Astyanax mexicanus: one gene and its partner. The protein of the gene in region 2 interacts with the protein of the main gene of each other region in a biochemical or structural test. Links are inferred from orthologs where the notes say so. Each region holds a gene or a part of one and is shown on either strand. Other genes may lie near its edges.

What was found.
Region 1: the proteins of myod1 (region 2) and csrp3 form a complex in vitro, tested with the Homo sapiens proteins (2 studies listed by BioGRID and IntAct, with this or other methods). The link is inferred for Astyanax mexicanus from reciprocal best matches to the Homo sapiens genes MYOD1 and CSRP3.

What each region holds. Positions count from the first base shown.
Region 1 is NC_064423.1:343,306-350,629, forward strand, and holds the start of csrp3 (cysteine and glycine-rich protein 3), read left to right. Parts: upstream 1-4,323; 5' UTR 4,324-4,429; intron 4,430-4,693; 5' UTR 4,694-4,800; intron 4,801-6,637; 5' UTR 6,638-6,657; coding exon 6,658-6,769; intron 6,770-7,324. Other genes in the region: transcription factor E2F8, read right to left, coding at 499-750, 1,599-1,682. UniProt on the Homo sapiens protein: Positive regulator of myogenesis. Acts as a cofactor for myogenic bHLH transcription factors such as MYOD1, and probably MYOG and MYF6.
Region 2 is NC_064409.1:62,752,021-62,759,285, reverse strand, and holds myod1 (myoblast determination protein 1 homolog), read left to right. Parts: upstream 1-4,460; 5' UTR 4,461-4,723; coding exon 4,724-5,233; intron 5,234-5,441; coding exon 5,442-5,520; intron 5,521-5,640; coding exon 5,641-5,867; 3' UTR 5,868-6,762; downstream 6,763-7,265. Other genes in the region: zgc:172145 (ferritin light chain, oocyte isoform-like), read left to right, coding at 1,012-1,158, 2,289-2,582. UniProt on the Homo sapiens protein: Acts as a transcriptional activator that promotes transcription of muscle-specific target genes and plays a role in muscle differentiation. Together with MYF5 and MYOG, co-occupies muscle-specific gene promoter core region during myogenesis.

The DNA.
Region 1 (7,324 bases), on a different chromosome or scaffold from region 2:
TGAACTTTTACTTTACTAAACTTATATATGAATATATTTGACTAACAATGAGACAATAAATACCAGAGTAATAAATAAAGTTATTTAGCTTTTGTAAAACGTGACCTAAAACAAGGTCACAAATGATTTAAAGAGTTGAAATAGAGCTACTATACATTACTCATCTTATGCGTTACTTCTCTTATGATCTTTAATGTGCCACACGGCGCTGAAGATGCAAAACTGTGGCAGAATTGTAATTGTGTAGGAAATATAGTCATATAAAAATAAAGTTTAGTTTAGTAAAAGTGAACTTCAGCAAAGATTTTAATATAAAATATAGGCTGGGGAGTTTCGATGGGATCATGAAGTGTTTAGAATCCTAAAAAAGGGGTCTCACAGTAAAGAAAGATTAACAACCTCTAATCTAAACAAAGACATCCTGCCCTGTGAAATACCCTCCAGGACTAAGTTTAATAAACAAGGCTTTAGAAGACAGGTTAGAAATGGTTGAAGTACCTGAGAAGAGCATTCTGTTTCGTCTGCCTTTATGTTGTCTGCACTTCTTTCCTTCTCACGGTTACGTATCTCGGGGCTAGCCGCACTGATCAGCATCTTTAGATTAGAAGTAGGGGTCCAGGGCTCCCCTGTAGGAGCGTCCGGGCCTTTAGTGGGCGTTGTTAGGGGACCCATTATTTTCAGATTTTCCAGAGGGGCAGATTTCCCCGAGGTTTTCCCGGGTGTCTGCGGTTCCACAAACACACCCGTTTTCTGTAAATAATGAAGCCAGAGTTCGGTTGTTAGTGCACAATAACAATAACGGAATTTTTAATGCAGACTGGCTGGTTTATACAATAAAAAGTAAGGGCAGGGCTGCATACTGTAGGCTAAAATGAAGATAACAATCAGATAACTAAACATTTAGCTCAATATTAAATAACTGCCTGAACTATTATCAAATAGAAATATATCTTTAATCAGGGGTTGATATTTCACAGTTATCCCATTATATAAAATAAACAGTCAGAACAATTCTGTTACTATAAATTAAAACTTGGTATGTTTAATGTTTCAAGTAAGTATGAAGGAGACTTTATTGCCATGTACATCACATGCGGAACATGGGGTGGAACAAAATTGCTTTCTCAAGGTCCGGTTTTCCCACAACAGAGCAGTTATTATGAAGAATATAATAAAATATAATAAAGAAAAGCAAATATGAAGTAAAGAATAAATTAGAAAAATAGTTTTTAAAAAGTGTGTACCATTATTACTTTTTTCCCATTTAATATAGTAAAGAACAAATGAGTTTTGACTAAATTGTATTTTTTTTTTCTTTTCTGGAATAATTTTCAGGAACAGTTAAATCATTTATTTTCTTTAGATTTTCTATTTTTTCCTCTTTTGCAGAATATTAACCTGATAATTATTACACTGACCCACGAATGATGGAGATGTTACATAAAAGTACACAATATTTATCTAAAGAGTGTGGATTTACAAAAGTGATGATTTTTGACTAAGGGAATGTTCTTTCCTTCCACAAACTCTGAATATAATTCTCTTCACACACAGTCACTATACACAGCCATTAGCAGCTCATCAGCTCATTTACTGACCTTCTCATTAGCTGCTGCTGATTTGTTGGGGCTCGTTTGGGGGAGCTGGGTTAAGTGCTGGCCGTTTAGTAAGGTGCTGGACATTTTCCACCTACGTGTGTTGAGAAAGAAGAATTGATCGTTAGGAAAAATACTAGTATTAATCACTTATAACTAACATATCAGTGCCATTATTAGCAAATCTGAGATTTTAAATAGAACAGGGAAGATAACTGTATGAGTTATCTAGGTTACAAACAAGAAATACCTTTTTTTTACAGCGTTATATAACCTGGGAGAAAGCATCGTGCACCCCTATGAGAACTGAATTAGTTCAGGTTTATTAAAATCTTATATAAAACTGTTTGTATTTTTCGTAAATCAAAGTTATTTTGATTTCAAATGACCGGGAGCCGACTGGCGCTAACTGACACCCGATCCGACGAATCACGCAGCAGCACTACGCGGATGCACACGCCCTTCCACTACAATCAGCCAATTGCTGACAGGGCACGGACACGTGAGCCCGCCCCCCGCGAAGAAGCCAGCCAATAGGTGCGCGACAAAGGGCGGGTTTTCGGACAGTCGCGCGCAGGCTCTCACCTTTTTAAAATCTTGGCGCGGAATTTCGCAATCGGAACGGAAGAAGATATTAGCGGCTAAAAACAGCATAAAACAACTAAACTAAAGCATATATTGGCGCAGATTAGATTGTACTGCTAATAAACTCGATATTTAACAAGAAATAAGCGCTTAAACTGTATTAATTTGTACAAAAACTAGTGGTTTGGAGCCTCGCAGAGCGCAGGACACCAGAAACACAGCAGCTCAAAACCAGGATAATAAATACCTGCAGATAAGTTCCGTACAGATCTAAAGTTACTTAACTAACTGCTGAGCTAGTCAACTAAAACTCTACTAAATATAACATAGCTTACGTAACTTACACTGCGGTATGTTTATTATTAACCAGGTATAAATATCGAAACGAACTGCTAGCGTTAACCTAGCTGAGTTTTTATTAAACACAGAGAGGCGGTAACTTTTATAATGTTAAAATAGCTTTAAAACGCTGGATCCTACAGCAACAGCCAGCAAGTTCACTGATAAACTAGTTATTACTGAGTAGTGAAGCTAGCTAACGCTATCTAGGTTAGCTAGTAAGTAGTTAACGTAGTTGTTTAACGTTACTCCGCAAATGTAATCTAACCCAGCTAGTTAGCTAGCTTTACGTAGTTAGGTTAAATAAAACTTTGTGTTCATTCTGTGTTACACAGATAGCTTAAATAGCCTTACTAGCTAACTAATTATAAGTTACTCCCTTCTGTAAAAGCATTCATAGGCTAGCTATGGGTGACTATAAAGCTCTTTAGTATGTTTTATATATAAACTAGCTCGCTAGCTTATTAGGTTAACATACCTGAGTCAGCAGTAGACTGTACAGGAGAAACGGTCCGACCAGAATGCAGGAAAGAAGGCAAATTAATCCATAAGAACGGCAGATAGATTCCACCTCTTGTAGATTTAGCTCAAATAATTTAGTGCAAGAATATCTCCGCAGATTCCACACAGGTAACTCAACCTACAGTATGTTAGATCAGTCCTCCAGCTGTGCTTCTCTGTACAGCGCTACAGTAAAGCTGGCTGTAAATAAATACGGATTTCTCCAGTTTTAGTGATTTTCCAGCGCGCTGAGGGTCCTGGTTCGGTTTTCCCGGGTATATGAAGGTCCTGGTTCGATTTTCCCGGGTATATGAAGGTCCTGGTTCGGTTTTCCCGGGTGTCTGTGTATATGTGCGCGCTCCTTTGCCCGCGTCCCGCTCTGAATTTGCCGGGCAGATCTGACCCGCCCATAACTCCGCCCACACCCCGCCCCCACACACGTACACGTACACCCAGAGGATAAAAGTACATATTTACTAAGTACATAAAGTTCTGAACAGGGTCGAGTGTTGTGTCCAGTTATGTCACATATCGATATGTGCTTCTTTTAATGCTTCCTCATGTTTTTAATGAATGTTAGTTATTATGCATACATTGTAAGTTAATTACATTTCTTTTTTGTGATATCAGTTACTTTGCACAATAATTTAACATTTCTTTGATAAAACAGGTTTATATTTACTCTACTATTATTTATTTTTTTATTGACCAAAATTATTGATTTGAAAATTAGCTGGAAAAAGACATTTCTACTAAATGAACAGCATTAAAGTTCAACACAGACAACACTGAGTTAGCAGCTCAGAACCTAATGCTGGTTTTAACAGCAGACAACTAGTAATACATACACATAATATATCATCTACACGTTTACATAAGGTAGCTTAGGGAATGGCTACACACAGCGTCAGAAACTGTGGTACACGCCCAGTTTGTATAAACATGGTGGCAGAACAGAAGTTGAATCAACTGAAGCTGCCACTGGCAACAGAATACATTCAGTTATTATAAAATAATTCAACTCATGTGAGTTATTGTGAATACATATGTGGCTGCGAATGTTTACCAAACTCAAAGTAGTTGAGCAATGTTTGTAAATATAAGTATGATATGACATAACACAGACTTACTTCATTTGAGCTCAAACAAACTGTGGGTTTATAGTGTAATAGTTAACTATATATCCTTTTAGGGTGTCGTCATTTTTTCTGTTTTCATAAAGTACAGTGCATCTTTAATCCAGTGTGTGGGAGCAGGAGCATTTTTCCCCCAATGCATCAAAATGAGCCACCTCGTTACACAAATTAAAATGCTACCAATGTGGATTTTTTTGTGTTTAGATAGAATGAAAGTAGCTGGAAGAACTCCTAACACTGTGAGGACTGGAGAGAGATCAATGTGCACTTGCAGTAAGTATAAAAGGGATATAAATATTGAGCTCTACCAGGATTTGTAATAAATAATTCCAGAACATATTAGAATGATATACAAATTGGGCGGGGCCTGATGGTATCTGTCACCATTGTAAATATTGAGATTTTTAATGTAATCTAAAGTAAAAATTGCTGTATGAGTAAAGGCTTCAGTACAGATGAGAGATATAACTGAGTATATTTTAGGAAGATGGCCTAATCTGTGTGTGTGTGTGTGTGTGTGTGTGTGTGTGCGTTCAGTGCTCTGAAAGATGAACATATATAAGAGAGGTCCCTGAGAGCCAGAGGCAGACAGAGAGCCAGGCCGAGCCTCTAGGGTGATTCTGGACCTCCTGTTCCGCTGGTCTGTAAGTACTGTAGTCACTGTTTGTGTAAATTTGACTGATTACTTTGATGTTTTAACAGTAAAGTTTATAAAATATAACATTAGTTGCTTAATTTCTCTCTTAGTTAGATTGTATTTGCCTATTTAGTACCATTGTATTTGGTACCTCTTTACACATGTATTCCTATTACTGTTTGTAGTCACTTTTTGATTGATTGACTGGAATTTTAAACAGATAAGAGTTATGTTTTAAATGTGAATAGCTTTAATTGCATTTACACTTAACTGTAATTAACCCTTTCAGACTCTGCATCCATTACAATCCATTACCCTCCATTTATGTTTTGTTGCACATAACACTATTTGAGAGCTGTTGTGCAACAGAATAGACCATGAACCAATAAAACAGTAAACCAATAAACCAATGAAATAGTAGCCTGGTAGTACTAGAGCCATTAAAGCAAAGTAGCTGCTAATTTAAATGGTTACTAATAATCATGTTTTATTTTTTACTGTTTAGGGATGGTTTATGAAACAAAATAGTTAATATGAAATACCAAATATTACACAATAGGATTTATTTGCTGTATAGATTTTATAGTAGAATATTAAATACTTATTTTCTGTGCACTACAGACAAAAACAGCATTCATACATTTTTACATCACTGGAGATAATTCAGGTCTGAAACCGTTCATATATTAAATAATACCAATAATATTATTGAATGTAATAATATGGATAGTTTAACTCTTAAGAGGTAAATTGTTCAATAGGTGATGATGACTGAAGCTCTAATCACCATCACACTCACTCAAACTCAGATATACTGAAACAGAGGCCAGATCTGTGAGTGTGTGTGTGTGTGTGTGTGTTTTTATCAGCAGTAGCTTCATTGAAGGAACTATTTCTGGATGATTATCAGCACATTCCACAGTGTTGAGGCAGAGAGCAGAAACTCTGACTCACAGTAACAACATAATATATATTTATATTTACAAGACAGCTAATGTCTTGTATTATATCAATCCATGAGTTAACAGTGGATTTCTGAGCTTTATTGATCCTGTCAGTACTGCATTCTAGGCAGGATATTTAATAAAAAATATTAGGTGAGCCATCAGTAATCTTTAGTAGAGTAGAAAAATGATAGATCATCATTTAACAGCAGTAAACAGGGATACGAATCGAGTGTGATTGCATTGATGATGGTAGAGTCTGACCACTGCACAAAGCAGCGCTTCTCCATCCAGCACATCCCAAAGATTCTCAATGAGGTTAAGATCTGGACTCTGTGGTGAACTCTCTCTCAATCCATGTGTGATAAATGATGATCTCCTGCTCCCTGAACCCTGAACTCTTTCACAATTCCAGCTGTATAAATCCTGATATTATCATCTTGGAATATGCTCGTGTTCATCAGGGAAGATAAAATCCATTGATGGAATAACCTGGTCTATATTCAGTATATTCAGGTAGAGTCAGCTGACCTCATTCTTTCAGCACATACTGTTACTGAACTCCAAATGGAGACTTTTTTTGGCCAGGCTCTGTTTTCATTTTACTGTTCTTGTGATGTTACCAAAAGGTTGTTGTAAATCAATTAGGATTAATTATCATAAATTAGGATTAATTCTCATTAAATGATAACGTTGTAGGTGTAGCTTATAGTTTATCATTATTTAAAACTGATTTAAAGTGATAAGATGAATAAATAAATACACTTCATTCATAATGTCTTACACCACATTTCACAAAGAAGTTCATGTAAATAAATCCTGCAGAGGATTATTTTTTTATGTTAATGCATACAGTGCTGTTATCTGAGGATGCTTTTATTTCTGTTCTGATTCCTGTAGATCTAGTCCCTGATCCGAGGATGCCGAACTGGGGCGGGGGTGCTAAGTGTGCAGCCTGTGAGAAAACCGTGTACCACGCTGAGGAAATCCAGTGTAATGGGCGGAGCTTCCACAAACCCTGCTTCATCTGCAGTGAGACACGAGTTCACCTTTTTATACAAGCTGTGATCCTACAAAATCCTGCATAGTCAGAGCTAGGAGTGGGAATCACAGGATATCTCAAGATACGATATTATCACAATACATTTCCCATCATAACGATGATATCACTATACTGTGTTTCTGTGATACTCAAATATTACACTTAAATATTACAGTACAATTCTCTACAATATTCCGTCTTACTGAATAAAATACTCCTACTGGATAAAATACTCCTAAATAATTAAATTCCAGGAATTATGGATTTATTGGTGTCAGTTTTTACAGAACTTGATAACGAATATGACACAATGCACAACAAAGTGCAGAGCTTAGCTTGCTCACATCTCTTTAACACACACACACACACAAACACACTCACACTGACCGCAACTGTTCCATGTCTAGGTATTGTTATTATTATTATTATTATTATTATTATTATTATTATTATTATTTAAACAAAAATACATTACTGCAAAAAAAACTCTTTATTTAAAACCAAAAATTATTAATACAAACTCTCACAGGATAAAGGAGAAAGAA
Region 2 (7,265 bases):
TTTGTTCATTTCCCTTTGAAGTGTGAGAAGGCCCAGCAACATTGTACATGATAACCCCTTTCCACAGCAATCATTTAATTTTAGACAGGGTTTAACATTTAAATTTCATTTCATCGAAAAATACGTAAAAAAAAAAAAAAAAAAAAAAAAAATTAAGCTAGAATAAGGGATTTGTTTTGGAAAACAATTTCTTTTAATATTATATATCCCAGTAGCATAATAATAAATCAGATGATCTCACTATAAAAAAGAAAATAAATATTTTAAAATACATAAATGAAAGTATAAATACTGGGCCAGTCATTTGGAATGACTGAAGCTTTGAAACTAAGTGAATTCATTAAATGGTCTCCTACCAGCCTGTTTAACTGAGCTAGATATACCAGAACAGCGGACAAAGAAAAGACAAGGACGACTTCCTCGCTTCTGCAAAGTCACCTACTTAAATATTACACAGTCTGTATTTTAATGAGTTTTGCATCAGTTATAATTTATTGAGTTTTCATCCTAATATTGTTTCTACTGCCAGTGTTATGAGCACTTCCTTGTTTGGCCTACAGGGGCCCTAAGCTCTAAACTATACCATACATTGAATAACCTTGATTATTCTTGATAATCAAAATTAAGTATCTACAATACCAAATTACAAAGTAATCGTAGTGCTAGTTTAAAAAAATCACTCCTGTGTTCATTATGTGCCACATTAAATATTAGTTGTATAAAATGTAAGCGAATATTAAGCTCAACTAAGGAAGCTGGAGCAGATGTTTTCGTTGCAGTGGCACAGACATTCAACATTTCATAATGAATTAATGAAGGCATGTTAAGTCAAATGGCTTTCAGAAATGCTTCAAAATGGTCTACAAAAATGAATACAAATAATAAAAATTAGGTTTTTATTTCTTTCTTTCCTATAAAAATGCCACTTTAGAGGTAGTGACAGTAAGATGTTATGGTACTGTCCTCTGTTCAGAATTGAACGGAATAAATTGTGGGTATTGTATATTTCAGGCCAAGATTTTTGAGCAAGATGACCTGGCTTTGCCACGTGTGGCTGCATATTTCTATCTGGAGTCCACAAGAGAGCAGGAGCAGGCGGAAGCCATGCTACACTACCTGTCCGAGCGTGGAGGACAATACTGCAGCAAAGATATCCAGGTAAACCTTGCTGTCTATGCCCAGCATATCATGTGCTGTAGTGTTACTGTGAAATATGGTGAATAAAGATGTTTCTTGTCTTCTTTATAAAATAATAGTAGAATGCCCCTTTTCAGGTTTTGATTCTTCACTTTTTATCACTTTTTCGGTCTCACTGTTAGGAAACAAAAGTTTTCACAGATCTGCAGGATTATTTTACTGCCCACAGTTACTGCCAACATTGTATCCTCATCATATTACCTCTGTACCTTTAAAAATATTTTTTGGAGGGGCTCTTGACTGGATAGGCCAGCAGTTTAGGAGGAAAAGGGGTCAGAGAGAGAGAGGAGGATAAACCCCTGTGGGCTTTGCAGGGATCTCTTCTCTAATGCCTGTCAGGGTATACGTTTTCCCTGAGTTCCGGAAAATTGGGGAGATTAATGTGAAAGCGGAAGGACAGTGCATTAATTGTAGTTCCAGATGTACACTATGGCACTGGCTCTGCTGCCACTTCAGCCTGGGTCCTCTCTTTTTTTCCAACCTCCTCCTCTTCCCTAGTTTTATGACTCATGTAAAATTGATCCGGAGTGAGGCTGGTGAGGGTCCATCAGCAGCAATTTGGAACACCTTGTTATCCGCTGATGCATGGAGAGACGAAGGCGTGAGTGAGTTTAAATGGAGCTGGTTGAGTTGCTTGATTGTGAAATTGTATGCATATAAAAAAATATATATTATTATTTTAGCCATACAGATATTTTTAATAAGTACATGCAATAGATTTAAATTGATAGTAAAAATGGTACAAATAGTATAAAAACACTATCATTTATAAAGTCTGAGATAAAGAAAAGTTTTATATTTGAATGCAATCAAGACAGTGGGATCTAAAATCAGAGATTGTGGATAGGGTTTAAACACAACATGAACCACTGACTGTCTCCAATCTTTACATAGAAACCAGTGATTAAAAATCAATACTGTTTTTTTAAGCGATACAGTATTGCTTGTCTATACATTCGCTGTTAGTTTTAAAATTAGTAGAACTACACATCTGAGCAGTTTGTGTGTGTGTGTGTGTGTGTGTGTGTGTGTGTGTGTGTGTGTGTGTGTGTGTGTGTGTGTGTGTGTGTGTGTGTGTGTGTGCTATGCAGAGACCAGGGACAGAGCAGGTGTGTGCGCTGCTCCCTGCCCTGGAACTCCTGCTGGGCCAGTGGAAGGAGGAGATGGCCATCATGGTGGAGCTGTCTCAGCTAGCACGTGAACATGGAGACCCCCACTCTGCCAGTGTCCTCAAGAGCCACTTCCTCCAGCCTCTCGCACCAAAGATCAAGCTGCTAGGTGACCTCTTGACCAATGCTCGAAGACTGGGCTGCACCAGTGATGGTGCTGGAGGATATGGAGAGTACCTCATTGACCAGCTCTATGAGGAGCTGGCCAGTGCCTAAATGTCCTGTAAAGCCCCTTGTTGATGCATTAATGGCCTGACTAGCAGTTATTTCCTATCAATACTTTCTGCACTGTTAGATCCCGTGCTCAGCCTGCATGGAGTGTGTTCTGTTTGTGGCATGAAAGAGATGATTTGTGGGTTTCTTGAATGGCGTGTTCTTGAAGCTTGGTATTACCTTTCCCCACAGCTGAAAAGTACTGAGCAAGTGGAAAATAATGTGAATTTCCCATATTGTCAAAAGAAGTGCTAAAAACACGGGAGAGATTATTAAAAATGAATGACTAAGAGAAATTTTGACAAGTTTGATATGTTTTTTAGTGACTATGAATGTGTTTTTGTAAAAACAAAAAGCCTGTAGAGTGGAACAAAACTTGCTGTTTTACATTAAGAAGTGCCCTATATGAAAAAAAATTATGCAGTATTTTATAGACAGAATTTGATTCATTGTTATATTTTTTGACTGACACTGATTAAATGTTTTGGTCTGGATTGTGTATTGGAGGTTTAGATTTTTAATCTCACACTCCACCTATTTTTTTAGAAGTATTTTTAATCATTTCTGTTGCTTTTAAAGCGTGTTTTGTGATGGGTTCTGCGTGTTTGTATTGTGTTTGTATGTGTGGAAGACAAGAGTTTCCTTCTTTGCACTGTTACTTTTCTTTGTGTTCATGTGTGTGTTTTATGTAGGATTTAAGCCATAAACCAATAAAATCTATTGAAACTGTTAAATTAAAGTCTCAAGTATGATTTAATAGTGGGGCAACAGTTTCTTAAACACCAGAGAGATAACTCTGTTAAGATTATTCCTTGTTAAAAAGGAGCTGTGAAAGCTGTGATTTTGTCACTTGTAAATGGGATTATAACCCAGGCCTCTCTCCCGGTGGCTCACTGGCTCATTACTGCCATCTGTTGGTGGACCCATGGCACTGTTGGCTTCTATTTCTGAGACAAACTAAATACAGTAGGCTAGTACATGTTATAAGTAGCCTATGAACCGAATGAACTCCTAAAATGAATTTCCCCTGTCAGAATTTTTTGATTTATTCATGTATTCTTTTCTTAGAGGTCTGACTAAAATAACTTTGTCTGTACTAATTAGACTTCTCAGCAAATATTAATCAGAGAAAAAAAGAAAGAAAGCTAAGATAGAATAGATATTCCAGTAGTGTAGATGATCTGTACTTATAGCAGACACTACAGTCAAAATATTTAACCTTGCTTTACGTGCCCACTTTTTGTAGCTGTGTAATGTATCGAATGTAATGTAATACTAAAGGATTTGCTGCTTCAGAGTCTCAGGGGTTGTTTGGAAGTGTGTGTTCCGGAATTAGAAAATAAAAACAGAATTAAATGGGTGGTGGAGTTTCAGTATTAGAATGATATATTAAAGCCAACTCAGTTTAAAACATTTTAGTATATATTAACTTATGTACTACATATAAATATAGACCATTTCACTGCATATATTGTGCGCTTCCATGCGCTTACATTATGTGTTTCTTAGAAGTCAGACTTACTAAGAAACACACACAGCATATTTTGGTTGCTTACAGGATTTGCTATGTAAAAAATATTATGAAAAAGTTTAATTTCTTTTCTTATTCATATTAATTCAAGTAAACCATAGACTAAATTTCAATCTCCAGGTATGTTTTAAGATTCTCAGCATTATTTTTCAGTCTTCCAATTCTTAAATTCTGAGTTTTTCAAATCTGACAAATTTTTCACTCTAACCTTTATTGTTGTCTTTAGTGTTCGTCCGGCACAAACGACCCCTTCCAGCCCCCCATCGCCTCGGCCAGGGCGTTTATTGGCCTGCGGTTCAGGCCAAGGCCACTCCCCACCCAGCTGCCGGCCCATATAAACTGGCCTTTTCGCCTCCTCAGCAACAAGTAGCTGCAGGCTGCACTGGGACAGGAGTTGGTGGAGCCCTACCTGCAACACTCACTCATTCCCTCTCTCTTGTCTTTCACTCACTGCAGACATTAAGAGTGTGTGTTTAAACAGGACAGAAACCTGACAGAAAGTGTCTGAGCGCATTGGAGGCTCTCTGGAGTGTTGGCTCAACTCCTACCTTATTTTACACACTTAAAAAAAGTTTCATCACTTTGGTTTTTTGGGGGGTCAGAAAAAAGAGAGATGGAGCTGTCGGATATCCCGTTCCCCATCCCGTCCGCGGACGACTTCTACGACGACCCGTGCTTCAACACCAACGACATGCATTTCTTCGAGGACCTTGACCCACGGCTCGTGCACGTGAGTCTGCTCAAACCGGACGAGCACGGCCACGCGGAGGACGAGCACGTGCGCGCGCCCAGTGGCCACCACCAGGCGGGCAGGTGTCTCCTGTGGGCGTGCAAGGCTTGCAAGAGGAAGACGACGAACGCGGACCGGCGGAAGGCCGCCACCATGCGGGAGAGGAGGCGCCTGAGCAAAGTGAACGACGCCTTCGAGACGCTGAAGCGATGCACGTCGGCCAACCCCAACCAGAGGCTGCCAAAGGTGGAGATCCTGAGAAACGCCATCAGCTACATCGAGTCCCTGCAAGCTCTGCTGCGCAGCCAGGAGGACTCCTACTACCCGGTCCTGGATCAGTACAGCGGGGACTCGGACGCGTCCAGCCCCAGGTCCAACTGCTCCGACGGCATGGTGAGGAATCTGAGATCTCTAAAGACTTTTACTGTCAGGAGCTGTCACTTTGATCAACTAAACCAGACTCTAGTGTCAACTCTTTTTTAGTTACTCTTTTGTTACTTTATATTACAATAATAATATTATTTAGACTATATTGCCTATAACTCTAAAATATTTTGTTTTGTTGATTCCATTTAATTGATGTATTTATATTTTCTTTCAGATGGATTTCAACGGCCTATCATGTCCATCTAGAAGAAGAAACAGCTATGACAGTTCCTACTTCAACGAGAGTCAAAACGGTAAGATACCACCCCAAATAAATAATCAAGCATGAAACGTCACGAGACATTTTATAATAATATATTCAAGTGAATCAACAACTACAAAAAATAACATCTGATTCTTTCTCATTTCTCCAGTAGATGTGCGGAGCAGTAAATCCACAGTAGTGTCCAGTCTGGACTGTCTCTCCAGCATCGTGGAGCGAATTTCCACGGAAGCGCCCGCATGTCAGCCGCTCGCGACGCACGAGCCGTCGGACTGCAGCAGCACCAGCAGCCCGCGTTCTCCGCACGATGCGCCCGCGCTCAGCGAGACGGTACCGAGCACTCCCTCCCCCGGGAACGCCGTGTACCAAGTCCTGTAGAACACACACACAGACATGCACACACTCATACATACATACACACACGCGCGCGCGGTGTACAGGAGCCTTCAGGACTGTGCTGTTCCTGTGCGGGAGAACAGAAGTGGGAGAACATAAATTTTTACCTTTATCCTTTCTTTCGTTCTCTTTTCTCACACTATCTTCATTTTAATTCATTTAGTCTTTCCTGGATCTTTATTTTTATTTTATTTTTTCTTTCCTTTATTTTCCTGGTTTCTTTTTCCTTTATTTCTTCCTTCCAAACTTTTCTTTCTTCGTTCTTTCCTGTATTTCCACACTTTTCTTTTTATTTATTGTCCTTCTGTTTTTAGTCCGATCTTTTTTCAGATGATATTCATTTAGGTTTTTCTTTCATTCTCTTCACTCTTTCTTTGTACTTTTATACATTCTTTCTTCATTATTGTATTTGTATTTATTTCTTGTTGTTCGGACTTTTTCTTTCTTTCTTTCTTTCTTTCTTTCTTTTTCTTGTCCTTTACTATTTTGTATCTTTTTATTCTATCTTTTTTCTGTAGAAAATATAAAATTCCATGGTATCGATGGCTCTGCCGAAGTCAGTTTCTTAAAACCTTTTATTTATATGATTGTCAGCTGCAATATTGTGACCATATCTTCCCTTGTTGAACCTCTTCTTTCTGTCTCCTTCATCTTTTACGATTTCCTGATTGTTCATGTGAGAAAACACTTCATCTATGAGAAGTAGAGGACCAGTTTTGTATATGTGTATATAAGAGCTGTTTTGTTAAAAGGAGAAGTGATCAAACTTTGTATTTAATGCTGCCTGTGTGAGGAGTTTGTTGTGTCCGACGTTTATATTTATACTTCTTCAGTGAGTGAATGTGGATTAATAAAGAAATACTTATTTATACACACACCTGCTCTCGTCTGATCTTTTTTTTAAAGGCTCTCATCTGTTTTTAACAATTTAATCATAACATATATATTTCAAAGAGCATTTACTTTAAATATTAATTTAAATTGTATTTTATTTTTATAAGCACAACTAAATGTCGCTTTAACTTAGTCAGTTTATTTGTTCGTCTTCATATATCTTTTTTTCTTATATTTAAATTAACTCCAAAACGTTCGAATAGTTTGACTAACATAAAATATTTGCCATTTAAAAAAAATGTTTTGTATTGCCGATTGTTATACCCAGCGTGTCATAAATAATTATATAAACAACGCATAACTATGCGTATATGCATAACCTAATGACAAATTAGTTCATTTCTAAACGAACTACTAAACGCAGCAGTATGATCCCACAGATTTACTAAATTATTTTTCAAATAAGTCTTCTTTTTATTTAACAAATTAAGTTAATGAACATGCAGTCAGGTTAAATTAGTCACAGTTGAATTTCTGCTTGTTACT